Linked DNA regions of Lepisosteus oculatus. The main gene of each other region encodes a partner of the protein of the gene in region 2 in a complex. Links are inferred from orthologs where the notes say so. Each region holds a gene or a part of one and is shown on either strand. Other genes may lie near its edges.

Region 1 (8,431 bases), on a different chromosome or scaffold from region 2:
ACAGCTAATCCCCACTAAGGGAGAAGAACAGCAGCGTTGCTGTACCAGTAGTTGTGCTACATGTAAGTCTTTCAGATGTATTTCCCTGTGCTGTGCCCAACCACACAGAGTACTACGTCCTTTATTTCCATGCCCTCAATAGATCACTGCCCTGTTAGGCAGAGAAAGACTGAAACAACAGCTCATTTTTAAAAAAGACAAGAAGAATCACAGCACAGCAAATCCTTCGGATGAAACCTGTAGTCTAAATTCTTACACCAATAATGGCAGATTTTTTTTTTGCTAGCATCCTTGTACCCATCTGATCCCCTGACCCCAACCCCCCCTCCCCGTGGGGCCCCCACCTTTCTTCATGGCTTTGTCAATGAGCTTCTCCAGCTCCAGGGCCTGCGTGTTCCCTGGCTCCTTCTTCAGAAGCGTGCGGATGTACTTCAGACCCTTCTCGTATTCCTGAGCCCGGGGACAAAAGCACAAGGAGACTGAGCCACTCCGCACAACACTAAGAACACGTTTAACTCAATCGGCTGATGAGCAGCAGACTGGTTCCATTCAAGAAACAGCTGGATGAGACCCTCTGCTGAATGAGCTACATGCAAACCAAACAAGCCAGTTGAATCGAATCGTTTTGAACTTCTCTTCCATCCGTGTGCAATGGCGCCCCCTCTCGCGGCTGGATGAGGGAGCCCGTTCAACAGGCAGGGCTTTCAGCCAGAGTGTCCCATCCCAGACACTGGGATCTCGCAGATGGGCTCAACAGTGCCCATCTGGGAGGATGACTGCACAGGCCTCAAGCCTCCCACGCACAACACTCAATATTTACAGTATACCTTAACATGTTTATTGGTTTCCCTTTCCCTCCATTCATAAAATTGTATAATATTTTCCATACAACACACACTAATATTATTTCACAGTGATAAGAGCTCACCTTCAGTCTGTAGTTTGCCACTGCCAGGTAAAACAGGTAGTCTCTCTGGTCATCCTTTGTGCACTTAAGAACCAACTCTGGAAGAGATTTAAAAGAAACAACGACTCAACTTGAGCTGGAGGACGTGCTGCCAGACAGACTCGACTCTCTCTTCTGCTCCCTCCTCACTCACCTTCCAGGTGCCCGATGCCCTTCCTGATGTCGTCCGTGTACTTGCTCCGGACGAGGCACCAGGCGTACTCGAACTTGGTGTCCTTTGACACGCTGCCCTTCACCAGCTCCGCATTGTACTTCTTCTCGAACTTCTAACGGGAGGGAAACCACAGGGGAAACGTCAGCCAAGCTGGCGGATTCCTAGTGTCCCAGTGCTGCCCTCCTGCCCCACATGACTACAACAACGGGGCAGACAAGCCTGTATACCTCAACGGACAACACTCACAGCCAGGATTTATGCTATCCGTGTAAACCTTATGGGGCGGCACAGTGGTACAGTGGCACACTGGTTACCACTACTACTTTGCAACACTGGGACTGTAGGCTCAATTCCTGGGGTGCTGTCTGCATGGGGTTTTTATGTTTCTCCCCATGTTTAAATGGCTTTACTCCCACAGTCCAAAGACATGCTGGTAGGTTAACTGGCTTCAGGGAAAATGGGCCCTGGTGTGGGTGCGTGTGTTTGTGTCTGTGTGTGCCCTGTGATGGACTGGCGTCCTGCCCAGGGTGTACTCCGCCTTGGGCCAAATGATTGCCAGGATAGGCTACAGCTCCCCCGTGACCCCGAACTGAATAAAGCGGATAGAAAATGGGTGAAAGAAGGCAAATTGTATTTGGTTAGGATGACATAATCTTTCGTGTCACTTGCGTTAACTAGCAATGATAAACATGAGGAATAACGAGAAGATTTTTATGCAACCTTATAAAACAATCTGACACCCACTTCAGGCTTCAGAAGCCTATCAGCAGCCATATCACCCTGCAACTCACAACTGGCAGCCCACTGCAGCTCAGCAGGTGTGAGGCTGGTCAGCACCTGGATGGGAGACCTCCTGGGAAAAACTGAGGTTGCTGCTGGAAGAGGCGTAAATGGGGCCAGCAGGGGGCGCTCACCCTGCAGTCCATGTGGGTCCTAATGCCCCAGTGTAGTGACGGGGACACTATACTGTAAACAGGCGCCGTCCTTCGGCTGAGATGTAAAACCGAGGTCCTGATTCTCTGTTGTCATTAAAAATCCCAGGGTGTTTCTCGAAAAGAGTAGCGGTGTACCAAATAGGGCTGGCCAAATTTCCCATCGGCCTTTATCAATCATGGCCTCCTAACAATCCCCCTCTATAAATTGGCTTAATTCTCTGCTCTCCTCCCCACTGATCGCTGATGTGTGGTGAGCGTTCTGGCGCACTATGGCTGCCGTCGCATCATCCAGGTGGATGCTGCACATTGGTGGTGGTGGAGGGGACCATTGGGACCAATGGATACCATTACCTGTAAAGCGCTTTGAGTGGAGTGTCCAGAAAAGCACTATATAAGTGTAAGCAATTATTATTATTATTATTATTATTATTATCTATAAAGACTATCAGCTGAGTACTAGTGTCAGTTGAAACTGTACAGTGATTTCAGTGGTACAAATGTTTACAGCAGGAAACTTGCAAAAACAGATTTACCTGAAGCTGACATAATGCTGTGTGACACCGGAAAAGCACAATTCTAAATTGCGTCACGTCGTTGCCACAAGTGAACCTGGATCACGCACGTACTTGTCCGTAAAGACTACGAAACAGTACCAGCTGATATTACAAATCAAGTAGTTTGGAAATGAGCGAGAGAAAATAAAGATGACTCGGATTCTCATAAAATGTGCACGCCATCTTTTCCGATTTATAATACTTGAAACAGTTACTTTGCCTCATTAAATTTGAGCAAAACTCTTGTAATGCCAAGTTAAATACAATGATCACACACTACAACTACGGATAAATACGTCTTATTTATGTTATATTACGCAATCAGCGATATAAGTCTAAGACCTAACACAAGCCTAAATCATAAAGCTCGGAGATAAGTAACAGTGAGTGGAATTATGTATTGTAAGCAAAACTATTTCAGATTTAGTGTCCAATGGACTTTGATGCGAATTCCGGAGTCATAATTCTGGGGAGCTCTCGCGTCAGAACAGATTTATTTTAGATGACACGTAAGAAGAGTTTAGCCTTGTACTTGGGAACACAAAGGTTAAAAACAACACATCAATGAAAATATAAATAAAATAAGCCATAACTTTGTTTCCATTAGTTTTACAAAACACCTTAACCTTTGCATTTTAAAGTTGTATCCAATCACAACTGAGTCCCAGACACGCACAGAATCGCTTACATCTGATTTAAACATGTACATTAGTATATCTTGTCGTATCTCCATAACGCTGTACTGCTGTAAATATACCGTGTAGCTCTGTGACGTTGTTTCAACCAATTGACAGAAAACTCCTATCGTCCATCTTTGTTTGTTGACGTTGTGAAAAGTACAGACGGGCGTGTCTCTGGGCTCCCCAACTCACCCGCAGCTCGTTAGCAGTAATCCCCGACACAGCCTCACCGGGCTCAAACACTCCGCCACACTCGTTGACCATTTCAGGAAACAACTCGTAAGAAAGAGAAACACTCACCAGTAAATCTTCAGGAGCCACGACTTCACTCACTACAGCCTCCATGTTTCCGGAAACAGTAATACGCAACTGCCGGAAGTCCAGTGAGACCACGTGCTACCGTAATGCTAGTAAATGTAGGAGACCTCAATTTGCTTGAGGATACGCTTTGGATAGAACCGTCGGACTTTAGCGTGTCATATAGAATTAAAACAAAGACTTAAACATTGAAAGAAGTTCAATCATTTTATTTTTTTTTATTTCTTTAATTATTTTTTTTAATTCTTAATTTTTGTTATTTCTTTTCTTAAGTCCATTTTTAGTGACTCTCAGTTCACAGGGTTCACAGGGTTCACTGATTACCTAGTGATGGGGTAAGGAGTTCAGAGTCCAGAGTTGAAGGATAAGATAAGATCACTTTATTTGCCCTATACAATTTTTTGCATTAGGAATTTGTCTTTTTACATACCCCAGCTTGCTCTCCATGAGACACACAGACAGGGAGAGAAGCTTGGGGTCAGAGTGCAGGGTCAGCCATTTATACAGCACCCTTGGAGCAGTTGGGGTTAAGGGCATTGCTTAGGGGCCCAACGGAGTAGGATTGCCGGCCGTTGGATTTGAGTCAGCCACAGGTGCAGATCCTGAGCCACAGAGCCACCGCTCCGCCTGAGCAGGGGGAGGGGCTGTGTTATTTCCTGCCCAGGTGCGAGGGAGAGAAGGCCAGGGGCAGCAGGTCCAGCAGGCTGGTCTTCCTGAAGGAGCTGTCCGGCTTGACAAGGTACACATCCCACTGCTGGCCAAACTGCCAACACAGGGAACACAGCGGGCTTTATCACTGCGTCTGGAGAGCCGAACCGATCCACAATCCCCGGCGCTCCACTCTAACCCACTGCCTCAGGGCCAGCTCTGAAACAAGGACCTGAGCAGTTTGTTTAGGCCTGAGAACGATTGACCACTACACCAAGGGCGGTGGGTGTCGGCCTGATTGTTGAAAATGTTTCCAGAAACAATTGGATAAGATTTGTTGGTCAACAAACTATGCTAGCTAGCAAAGAAGTGAACTTCTTTTCATTTTTTTGTAAAGTGCATTGTGTCAGACGTGCCCATGAGACTGTCTCCATTTCGAGCAGCATCTCTGCTGAGATGTGCTCCAAGTACTCCATAATGGTCACTTTCCCTATGGATGGTATAGCCCAGGTACTCATGAAAGCTCTGAAAAGCCCCATGAGCTGGGAATAGCCCCTCCATCACCTACCCTACAGCCCTCACTCACACACGTACCTCCAGCAGCACCTGTCTGCAGGCCCCGCAGGGTCCCACGAAGCTGTCCTCAACGTCACTGCAGAGCACAGACACCAGAGCACTATGAGGAGGAAGCAATTGCTCAGCAGGGTGCAGACCCGCCCAGCCACTCATGTTCAAGAGCGCCTTTTATTGGTTTGTTCAGATAGGACACTGGAGCATATCAGCAGAAACATGGATACTTTATAATAATTCCTTACACTTATGTATCGCTTTTTCTGGACACTCCACTCAAAGTGATTTACAGGTAATGGGGACTCCCCTCTAGCACCTCCAGTGTGCAGCCCCACCTGGATGATGCACCAGTACTCTCCCCACACACCAGCTCTCGGTGGGGAAGAGAACAGAGTGATGAAGCCAGTTCAGAGATGGGGATTATTATGAGGCCATGACTGGTAAAGGCCAATGGGAAATTTTGCCTGGACGCCAGGTACTGTAACACCTCAACTCTTTTAGAGAAACACCCTGGGATTTTTAATGACCACAGAGAGGTTTACTGAGAAAAAGTGTCTAGCAAAAGGAAGTGGCCAGGTCGCTAGGTATGAACAGATTTCCAAGAAACCAGGACAGTTCTCCCTCACCCGGTTGGTATGGCTTTTACCACAGACGGCGCTGATTACCAAGTGACAGCGATGGCGGTGAATTCGGTGTAGCCCTCTGCCACGGCTCTCTGCACAGCTGTCCTCTCTGCGCACACCGACAGTCCGTAGGAGGCGTTCTCCACATTGCACCCTGTAGCAGACACCCCCCCACACACACACACACACACACACACACACACACACACACACACACACACACACACACACACACACACACACACAAGACGTCAGGTTTGTGAAGGAGATCCATAGAGGAGAGGAGTGAAGGAAACTACTCTCCTCTATGGGCCTAGGTCCTCCTGCTGGCCACCACAACATCACAGATTTGTAGCCTTGCACTCTTTTAGGAAGAAGAAAAGCTGCTTTTATTGCACATTTACTCAACCTGGGGGGGATCAGAATGTCAGAGAATGGTATTTCATTGGAATGACCCATCTTGTCCAAAGTAGTGGGAACACTAAGGGCTGTGAAGTAGCAGCAAACCCGGCATGTTCCTCGGCTGTGGGAGGAAAGGCAATCTTTCCAATCTAAGCGATCTGGAGGAGTGTCTTGGCGGCTCGGATGGCTGATCGAGTCGATTCAGGAAGCCTCAAGGGTTTATACGCAGTGGTTTGCGTATTTATAAATAACAAACACCAACAGGAAGTGTGATTCAAACCACAAGAAGCTACTGAGCTGTTACCCACAAGCAAACTGCCAACTGCTCATATTGCCACAGTCAAACTGCTACTAACTAGTGAAACCAACACTACAGATGTCCCCTGGAAGTGGATAACCTTCTATGAGAGGAGATCTCTAGGTTTACTGTTTCGGTAGGATGTATGGATGTTTGGACTGATAGATCAGGCAAGACTGATAGATGTGTCAAACCTGCACTGTCACTTCTTTATAAGCACCATCTCCAGTATTTCCCAGCGAAATGCGGTAGCTACTACACTATCACCTCTGACAGTAACAACAGAAGCAAAGTCATCGCGCGCTTTGTCTTAAAAGGTACTTATCGCCAGCAGCGCACACTGACGTGCAATCTGAGCCCGCCCCCTGCTCTCACCTGTGATCACAGCGCCCTCTGTGGTCAGCAGCGCGGCGCCCACGGGGAAGTGGCTGTAGGGACAGTAGGCGAAGCCGCGAGCCGCGAGGCACTTGGACACCAGCTCCTTGACCGCGGCGGAGTCTGTGCGGAGAGAGAGTGGCGCGTGTCACAGCATCTGCGCCGGACAACCTGTCCGCCGGTTAAAGGCACAGAGCGTCTGCCTCTTCCTCTCTTCTCAGAGCTCATCCACACCGCGCGGCTGTGCTTGTTCAGAAGTGTAACGCCCCACTTTTACTGGGCCCTTATCATAAGAAAATATGAGCAACGCTGACGTATAAATAAAGATCACGGATGGGAGATTTATATGAGATTCAGATCAGGATATATAGTCCAGAATTCCTTTTACGTGATTCCCTATTTCAAACATCCTGCTTGTTATAATAATATTTAATATGTTAAGATCATTTGCCTGGCTTCAATTCCTGGGCTGCTATCTGCATGGAGTTTGCATGTTCTCCCAGTGGGTTCCCTGCGGGTTTTCCAGTTTCCACCCCACAGTCCGAAAGACATACTGGTAGGTCAATTGGTTTCTGGGAAGACCGGCCCTGGTGTGTGTGTGTCCTGCGATGGACTGGCGTCCCTCCCAGGGTGCACCCTGCCCTGTGCCCTCTGCTTGTTTTGATACGTTCCGGCTCCCCTGGGGATCCCGAGCCGGAAAAAGCAGTTAAAAATTGGATGGGTGGAAGATTTCAATTCAATTCAAAATACTTTATTCGTCCCCATGGGAGCAATTTACCTGTCATGTTACTCAATGTCTTCCTCTGGTGCTGGAAAAAAACTCACTTTCCCTGGAAAATAAACAACTGTACATAGTATATTAGAACATCAGGAATGTTACAAATGGGACAGGGCTATGCAGATCATCATGCTCATATGGTTGCTACAATATTTGTTTCAACAACCTGATTCTGTAGCTTGTTCCAGACTCCTGCAATCCTATGTGTAAAGAAATTCCCCCTGTTCTCAGTATTAGAGGCACTTAACTGTATTTTCCACTTGTGTTGTTGGTGTTTCATGGCTGATTCGGAGACTTTGAATGTTTCAATAAAACTTTAACAATACATTCCTAGAATTCTTTTCTCAGGTTACATATTACATTGGTGCTCCCTTATTTCTGTGTAAACATCTTTTAAAAGCTAACCAGTTAGCACTGCTGAGACACAGGTGGAAATCTCTCTAGCACTTGCACACACAAAAAAGGCTCTGTGTATTCTGAAAAAGGCCCAGTTACCCACAAATGAGCTCAGGGCAGATGTTAATTACCAATCCCAATAGAACTTCAGAGCCTTAAACAATCAATGAGATTTGACCAAATCGGTCTCATTCAGAGCTCAACCAGAAAAAATGGACACTATTAACATAGCAACACATTATAAGTGCATATCAACTTTTCCTACCTTTCTCCTGAATCCTCGAATTAAGTGATCTTTTGTGTTTCCTGCTGTGTGTGGTCCTTGTGTGTCAGGCTGCACCACAGTTTAAAGTCCATTGACCCCTGTCGTTAAAGTTGATTTCAGACAAGAAGCACAGGCAGAGTTGGGGATGGCATAACAGGGAAGTAAATCATAACAGAAGGCAGGACTAAACTTCTGAAGTTCACAACAGAAGGGAGAAGCTCCACGTACCTCTGAATGATTTATTATATCTGGAAAGCATTGAGGTACAGTAGACGAGATCCAAAGTCATATTTATCTTTATGATACTTCAAATCCAGGAGTCCAATTTAAAAGTAAAGGAAGAAAATGTACAGATGTATTCATTGAGATTAAAACATATTTTGTATTTTAATTGGGGGTTAATTCACAGAAATGCATTTGGAATATCTTTAAAGAATCCAAATTACAGATATCTTTAAAATAATGAAA
Region 2 (8,499 bases):
TATGACAGGGAGGGTATGTCGGTTCTGCCTAAATTTTATTGCTCTTTCTAAGCAACTACTGCATTCACAATAGCTAAAACGGACAGGTCAGGGGTTCAGGGGTTGCAAGTGTGCAATGGAAGGGCCAGTTGTGTGTTTTTCACATCTCCACTTCAAAAACGGTCAACTGGGACAGTTTCCATCTGGCTTCCAAACTGTCAAGCGCTGTGGCGTGCTCCTTGTGGAAGTGGCGTGGTACTGTCTCTTTTGTCAGGGTTTGTATGACTCCAGAACAGCAGAAGGGTTGTAAAAGACAGGAGGCCGTTTTAGCTTGAACTACTGGTTTGGCCTCACCCAGCCGCTCCTCGAATGGCCCTGCCTTTAATGCCTTAGCCTGGCGGTTGGTTCCAGGAGCAGAGGGGAAATTCAGCGTGAAGACGTGCCACCTGTTCTCTGTCCTGAAGGCAGGCCCAGTGCATGCGATTTGTTTTTGTATCTGGTTCAAATCCCCCAGCGATCTCCTTTATTCAGAACTAAAGAGAGGTGGTTGCTCTAACCTGTCTGTCGTGCTATACCACTGGCACCAGCTGCGTCACGGACAGTATGAGGCAAGAGCAGGTGTTGCACTTCTGCATCTCTGTTAGTGGAGAATGCACTTTGCCCACTCGACAGTGTTATGGGTCAACGAAACAGCTGTCGCTTTTGTAAAGCTATGGAGTGAACATGGGTGTCTCGAGTGTATGTTTTTAATAATAATGTCTTATAATCTGAACAAATCAACAAAGAACAGTTTTGCTGCCTAAACCATTTCGAAGTCACCTGTGCAAAATCTTTATTGTAAAACCTAGCTCTCATTTCAAACACTCCGGACCTGAACTCCCCAGGTGAACTTTTCTAGCAGGCTTGGAGATGGTGGGCTAAGTGCTCTGGCTGGAATGACCTTTATGCTGATGTACAAATTCTGGAGAAAAAAAAAAATCATCACCAGTAATGTTCAGCATTGTAAAGCACTCCAAAAATACCTTTTCTGGCTCTCATTTCTATGTATTGATGTGTTGTATCTGCTCCTCCAAGAACGAGAGAGAGAGCAAAGACGTTTGACCACAGCTCTAGTCTTGTGGTTTGGGTACATACAGCTACAGCGTTGTAAGAATAGTTCTTGTATTTTTCTGAAGTTTTATACTAAAAAAAATCCATACATGATAATACAATACAATACATACAATGATAAGTTAATACTTATGTCTTAACTATTAAAACAGCGCTAGTACCTCAGACCGATGCTTTCCAGTGTACCGCAGTGTTTCGTAGTGAAGTAGCTTTTTACAGACGCTCACATGTAATTGGCCAATTTGACCAGCAGAGGTCTCTGTTTTACTACATTCGTTCCTATACACTAAAGGCCATTTTCGTTTGGGTGTTACTGAATAACTTAAATTACTTTGGATTTAATAATAATAATAATAATTGCTTACACTTATATAGCACTTTTTTCTGGACACTCCACTCAAAGAGCTTTACAGGTAATGGGGATCCCCTCCACCTCCACCAGTGTGCAGCCCCACCTGGATGATGTGACAGCAGCCATAGTGCGCCAGTCCTCTCCCCACACAGCAGCTCTCAGAGAGCAGAGTAACGAAGCCAGTTCAGAGAGGGGGGTTATTAGGAGGCCATGATTGGTAAGGGCCAATGGGAAATTTGGCTAGAATGCTGGGGTAACACCCCTACTCTTTTCGAGAGACACTCTGGGATTTTTAATGACCACAGAGAGTCAGAACCTCGGTGTTATATCTCATCCAAAGGATGGTGCCTGTTTACAGTACAGTGTCCCCATCACTATACTAGGGCATTAGGACCCACATGGACCACAGGGTGAGCGCCCCCTGCTGACCCCACTAACACCTCTTCCAGCAGCAGCCTTAGTTTTTCCCAGGAGTCTCCCATCCAGGTACTGACCAGGCTCACACCTGCTGAGCTTCAGTGGGCTGCCAGTTGTGAGCTGCAGATATGGCTGCTGGCTGATTTGACTTGGAGACACGTGTTCTGCTGACAGTTGCATGCACACAGCTCTCCAGACTATAAGCTGCACAAACATGTGATGCACGAGGGAGAAACATATATTTTCAATACACTACTATCACAGTTTCTGATGCCATTTTAAGAAAAGTGATCTATATACTATGTATATATTTACACAAAATTAACTGTTCAATACTCTTCTAGTCAAATTATATTTTTTACTTAAGAGGGTATACAACCGAAATTACGTCGTCAACACAAATTAGTTTTAAAATTATATTTTTCTAACTATTTTATTAACTCTATATTATTAAACTCAAACGCAATGCAAGACCATTGTTTTTGTCCACTGGATTTCACCTCTGTTCTATTGTACTTAGCAATTTTGCAAAGATGTGTTTCTTTATGCAAACTTACTCAGTTCAGGTACAAAAAAATAACACAGCACAAAATTCGTCAGATAAATTCTTTGCTTTTGTGGATGCTTATTCAAACAGACACTGTTTTGCAGATTTTGTTGAAGGAAGATTGTTTTACTTGGTGAACCAACACAGGGTTTACTATGTCTGTTACAAATGGCATCATGGTTAAAAGACATTTAACCTTCAGTTTCCCTGACTGTGTCTGGGTAGTGGCCTCTCCTCATTTTTCAAATGACTGGCTTGGAAGAGCTGTGACAGAGCAGCCTTCTAATCATTTATATTTAACATTAATATATATATTTTATTCTGTAACCTGTATATTTGTAGAGCCCAGTGAACACATTTTGTAGCTGCCAGTATTTAATCCTAGACTGAATAAGCAACTTTTAGAAAAGTATTTTAAGTGAATCCTTGAATATTTATTGACTAGGGTCACTTGACATTTCCAGAATGCTGGCCTGTTTTGCAAGGTTTGCAGTATTAGGTCTCTTTAGTGGTGCTTGCAATTTTACTGACAGTATTTGTCTCTGATTTGTCCTTATCTGTTTATGTCAAGACTTGGAACTGTTTCTGGAGTGAAGGAAACAGCTGTTCTGTAACTGTTATCATTATTGTTAAATTGTTTTTTTTTTCTGTATTGCTGAATGTAGTTAGACCTCAGTGCTTCTGTCAGATCACTGGGATGCAAACATAATGTATGCTTTACTGACACACAGAGACTTTAAAACCCTTTTCAGAACTTGCATTTGAAGGAGTCTTGTAAGAAAGCCTTTAATAAAAAAACAGCTTGTTGTGTCAAACATGTTTTGTGTAATATGTTTATCAGATTTTCTACCCCTGTTACATCTTAGCAAAGGGAAGGCAATTTCTATCAAGGTGACAAAGTATCACAATCCTGGCCAGAGGACGAGGAGGCTGGGACCCCCTGCGGACTGAGGGGGGCCCAGGGGCGGCTGCAGGGGGAGGTGGGGAGCAGGAGGGGTGCAGGAGGCGTGTGTGAGGGAGAGGGGGGGACCTCGTCCGGTCTTTATAGTGCTTCAGGAGAGGAAATGACATCACGAGTGACTGCTAATTACTGACAGCTGAGTCTGATTGTACTGGGCTGTTGTCATCCATCCCAAACTTTCGTTGTGAACTCCATTCATTAAATTAGTCTGTGCAGCACAGGTGTGGCTCCTTTTCTGTTCAGTTGTATGGATAGTATATTTTCTGCTTTGTCAACCTTTTCTCTGTGTTTTTCTGCCTCCTATCTGGAATGTACAGGGTGAATTAATCCTTTCAAGAGTCATTTACCCTAATTCAGTGCTTATATGAAGGAGTACTCTCTCAGTGGTGCCTACCAAGAAAATCTTCTTTCATCCATGCGATGTAAATTATTGTCCAGGAAAAGATCATTTGTTCCAAACCCCTGAATAATCCTTATTTTTTATAATCCCTCTCATCACTTACGTCATTTTGCTGTTCTCCCGTCATTCACCGTGGGCTATTAAAGCAATGCTCCTGGCAAGAGCACTTTGTGTTCTCTGAAGCGCTGGTTTCCTAATTCTAATGTTCTCAAGTACAGCACGTACACATGATAAACGTCAGGTGATGATTTCAGATCCTCACAACTCTGTGCGTTTCATTAGAAAAAAAAAACTTGAGCCGCACCTGCAAACATCCTGCAGGATCAGAATTCCGTATCCTGTAGAAATATTTGTTTTTTCTCTTCGGTAAATTTTAGGATCCCTAAAACAGACCGTCAAGATAAATGTATGGTTCTTGTTGACAGCGTTGTATAACATCTGTAAGGGGCAGAACATACATAGGTGCGCATTCCAAAACACGTATGCACATACTAGAAATTAAGAAGTGAACCCCGAGAAGTGGAAATTAAGATTCCGCATTCTGTTTATACAGCTCTTCATTGCCACCATGAGGTGATACAGCAATACTACCATTCAATACAGTATTTTTATTTTTTGGCAGCTTGCCACGCCCCCTCGTTTTTCTCCTTCCGGGGTTATGTCGTGTCTCTGGCTTCTCCTTCCCGGGTCAGAGTTCAGTGTTTGCACTGTATGGTCTGTTGATGAGCTGGAGTTTGCAGACAGGACATTCCCGGAGCAAAACTGAGAACAGAGTATTTTGTATTACAATACAATAAGGACTCGACAACCTAAAAGCTCAACGGCGAAAACAACGAAAGCTCATTCATCAGTGGAGAAAGGTGAGTGTCACGGCAATGACTCTGCGTTTGTGAGTGATTTAATGATGAAACGATGGGAGTGAAGGTTTAAATTAGCTACGTCGCAATAAAATGTTTTGTGACGTTTAATCACCAAGCCACTTAACACTATAATTAATTATGCCTGTTTATGATTATAAAGCTTTTTAATTTAATCAGCTAAATTACTGATCTCATTGCATGTAATGTCGTCACTTACTGCTGACCAATCCGAAATGTCACATGAACGCATAAACGCAGTTCTCTAAAAAGGGCGTGGTGTGGTTGACTACCTTCATACTTCGAATACAAAAGTAAGATATTGAAACAGCTGTGTGCATTTTCATAATTTTAATATTTCACCACCAGTATCGTGATCCGAAGAGAAGAGTTCAGGAGGCGTGTTCGCTGTTATCAGTCGCGCAGTTTCGACAGTGCTCTGTGCTGCGGACTTCAGCCCGGAACTGTAGACTTGGCTCCTGACGGGATATATGTTCAGTGCCTGGAGTCGCTACCTTTCTCGCCCTGTGGGAACTGATACTTGGTTTCTATCGGTGCAAAACAGGTGCCCAGCCATTAGAAAAACAAAAGACAAACATCCACAATTTGCAGTTTCTCTTACAGTGTCGGAATATTAATACAATTTCATAGACGGCACAGACCTGTTTATGCAATAAGGCTAAAGAGGGATATTTATATATATATATGCGTTAGTGTAATTTAAAATTAGGGCGACAGCACCTGGGATTAGGGCGGATACTAACTAAGTTTAACGTCTCTATGCAAATATGTGAAAAGGGTGACCTGTTTGAAATAGGCAGCCCCTGATGAGGGTTAATTTGAAAGCCTGCTGCTAATGTTTGAAGCCAGCCATGGCGCTGTGGAAGGGGCGGGAGCTTTGGTGCGTATGTAGGGGGGTGGGGCTTATAATGTTACGTAGTCGGATTGGACAGCAGCGTAGGGGCGGGGTCTGTGGTGTGCGGTGGTTTGTTTTCCTGGGCTGAGTCTAGATCAAACTAAATCAAATCCAAGGTGCCCAGCATTTCATGATGTTGATATTAAGAAATCTGTAATGATAACAAAAACAACTCCCAGCTTCCAAATCACCCTGCACCTCACAACTGGCAGCCCCCTGAAGCTCAGCAGCTGTGAGCCTGGCCAGTACCTGGATGGGAGACCTCCTGGGAAAGCTCAGGCTTCTGCTGGAAGAGGTGTTAGTGGGACCAGTAGGTTGCGCTCACCTTACAGTCTCTGTGGGTCCTAATGCCCCAGTTAAAGACAGGGGCACTATACTGTAAAAAGGCCCAGATGAGACGTAAAACTGAGGTCCTGACTATGGTCATTAAAAATCCCAGGGAGTTTCTCGAAAAGACTAGGGATGTTATTCCAATGTCCTGGCCTTTACCAATCATGGCCTCCTAATAACCCCCATCTCTGATCTGGCTTCATCACTCTGCTCTCCTCCCCACTGAGAGCTGCTGTGTGGGGAGAAGACTGGAGCATCATCCAGGTGGGGCTGCACACTGGTGGGGATGGAGGGGATCCCCATTTCCTGTAAAGCGCTGTGAGTGGAGTGTCCAGAAAAGCGTTATATAAGTGTAAGAAATTACTATAAATTATTATGAGATTTCTTTAACAAGTGAACACCCTGTTTTCCTGTTCCGTGGCCTGACAGGAGATGGCGCCGTTGCACTGCTGTGGGCCTGAGACTGATCTCCTGTGGCAGTTGTGCTCAGTGGAGCTGGGTGTGAACAAGCCCATTACAATGCACCCCCACTGTGAGTTGTAGGCAGCAGTAATGAGCACCCTGGGCCCTGGTTTTCGCTAACGCCTTTTTAGCAACCCCAGAAAACAGGACGTGCTTTACAGCTGTGGCCCCAGCACCCTTCTTGATGGCTCCCTGTGGCGATCTGGCCTTCGCAGCACCTTGCCCCCGGCCCCCCCGTTCAAGGGTTGTGACGGTGCCTCTCGTGTCCCCCGCAGCGTGAGAGCCGACAGCCCGAGACGATGAGTCTGCAGTGGACGGCCGTCGCCACCTTCCTGTACGCGGAGGTCTTCGCCGTGCTGCTGCTCTGCGTGCCCTTCATCTCCCCGACCAGGTAACCCCCAGCTCGACCGCTGCGGACATCTTCCAGCAGGCCCAGCGGAAAAACACCCGAGAGCCCTTTCCTGCTGTGTGCTTGTGGACCGAAGGCCAGAGAATTGTCAGAAAGGACAGCAGCTCCCGAGCCTGTCCGGTCAGAGAGCGAGCAGGACTAAAGGACAGAGGAGCCAAATTCTGGGCAAGGGCGGACTGATTGTGCATCATCATTCGCTGTGAAAGCCTCTAGATGTTGTGCATCAGAATTAAGCGAGAGTGCTGAGCTGCGATTGAAAGGCTGTTAGAATGGAAACGGGTTGTGCATATTCATCTGAATTTAATGGTTGAATGTTTCCATGGTGGTTAAGGTGTTGTTCCTTGTTTGCCCACTTGCTCATATTGTGGACTTACTCCGTGCTTTCTGTCACTATACAGCTGTGGGGACTGAAGCAGTTGCCTTTGTGACTTTGTTAGAAAGTACAACACAAAAGGGAACCTATGTGGAACTGCCCCTTCCCTTTTCAGAACAGCTTTCAGTTTAAGAACCTGTGCATTGCTAGTGTTATGGGGCAGCTTGCTGCAGAACTCAGCTCTTCCCCTGGTGGGCCTTGTGCAGCTCTCATGTGCGTGCGTGTGTGTGTGTGAGAGAATGTGTGTGTGTGGGCGCACGTGTGTGCATGCTCAGAGTTGCATGCTGCAGCCAGTTCCTCACAGTCTTGTCTGTCTCCCTCTGGCAGATGGAATAAGATCTTCAAGTCTCGTCTGGTGAAGGCCATCACAACATACGGCAACACCTACTTTGTGGTGCTGATCCTCATTCTGGTCTTTCTGCTCATTGGTGAGTGTTGCCGACCCTAGTGGCAAGGAGGAGGAGGTGCCGGGGCGTCCTACCCTACTACAGGGGCTCCTTGATTGCAGTTCTGGCTGTTAAAGAAGTAACTGTAGAGCAGGGCTGCTGAAGGTGTGACTCTAAAACCGGATTCTTCATTAACTGATTGTTGTCAGGATCAATTTAATAATTAATGAGCTGGTTATATGAAAGCGCATAACAAGGGTTGCAAAGCAGAGGAGGCGATTTGGCCCGTTGAGCACGATAAACAGTGGAAGTCTGTGTCAGGGAGTCTGTCCCCTGTCTCTCTGATGTCTTAGGCACTGACATCACCCTTGTGTCTGCGAGTGATGTTGGGCAGATGTGTGTGAATTAGAAACCTGGAGTTCTCTCTCTGACTCCGTGTTTCCGTGCCCAGATGCCGGGCGGGAGGTGAGGAAGTACAGCGTGACGGAGAAGGTGGATCTGACCAACAACCCGGTGGCTGTGGAGCACATCCATATGAAGCTATTCAGGGCCCAGAGGAACCTGTACATCGCTGGATTTGCTCTGCTGCTCTGGTTGTGAGTATCTGGTTGTGAACACGCCCCTCAGCCCTAGCCTCCTTCATACTGAGGACCACGCCCCCCAGCCTGCCTTATTCTCACAGGTGGCCACGCCCCCAGCCTGCCTTATTCTCACAGGTGGCCACGCCCCCAGCCTCCCTTATTCTCACAGGTGGCCATGCCCCCAGCCTCCCTTATTCTCACAGGTGGCCACGCCCCTAGTTTCACACCCCATAAGCGTTTCTTGTGCCCTTTGACCCTATCCAGAAAAACAGAGAAAAAAAATCTGTAAATTAAGGTGATGTTTGGCTTTTGTGATCCCTGTAACGCCATCCCAAGCATGCTGGCCCACTTGATCATCCAGCTATTCAAGCCTGGCCGCAGGGTGGTCAAAGAAAAACATGCTGGACAGAAAAAACATC

The links.
Region 1: the proteins of bcap31 (region 2) and fis1 are in contact, whole or in part, in a crystal structure (PDB 8XWX), measured with the Homo sapiens proteins. The link is inferred for Lepisosteus oculatus from reciprocal best matches to the Homo sapiens genes BCAP31 and FIS1. Residues at the interface, in NP_001132913.1 of Homo sapiens: Asp224, Leu227, Glu228, Ala231, Lys232, Ala235; in NP_057152.2 of Homo sapiens: Arg52, Val56, Glu59, Glu60, Pro63, Lys64, Lys89.

Annotation. Positions count from the first base shown.
Region 1 is NC_090698.1:7,461,394-7,469,824, reverse strand, and holds the start of fis1 (mitochondrial fission 1 protein), read right to left. Parts: upstream 3,698-8,431; 5' UTR 3,636-3,697; coding exon 3,591-3,635; intron 1,234-3,590; coding exon 1,101-1,233; intron 1,006-1,100; coding exon 929-1,005; intron 451-928; coding exon 345-450; intron 1-344. Other genes in the region: cytidine deaminase, read right to left, coding at 4,258-4,371, 4,851-4,908, 5,492-5,603, 6,525-6,647, 7,303-7,309. UniProt on the Homo sapiens protein: Involved in the fragmentation of the mitochondrial network and its perinuclear clustering. Plays a minor role in the recruitment and association of the fission mediator dynamin-related protein 1 (DNM1L) to the mitochondrial surface and mitochondrial fission.
Region 2 is NC_090697.1:76,378,686-76,387,184, reverse strand, and holds the start of bcap31 (B-cell receptor-associated protein 31), read left to right. Parts: upstream 1-4,424; 5' UTR 4,425-4,626; intron 4,627-4,838; exon of another isoform or gene 4,839-4,937; intron 4,938-6,325; exon of another isoform or gene 6,326-6,401; intron 6,402-6,606; 5' UTR 6,607-6,630; coding exon 6,631-6,722; intron 6,723-7,440; coding exon 7,441-7,541; intron 7,542-7,950; coding exon 7,951-8,095; intron 8,096-8,499. UniProt on the Homo sapiens protein: Functions as a chaperone protein. Is one of the most abundant endoplasmic reticulum (ER) proteins.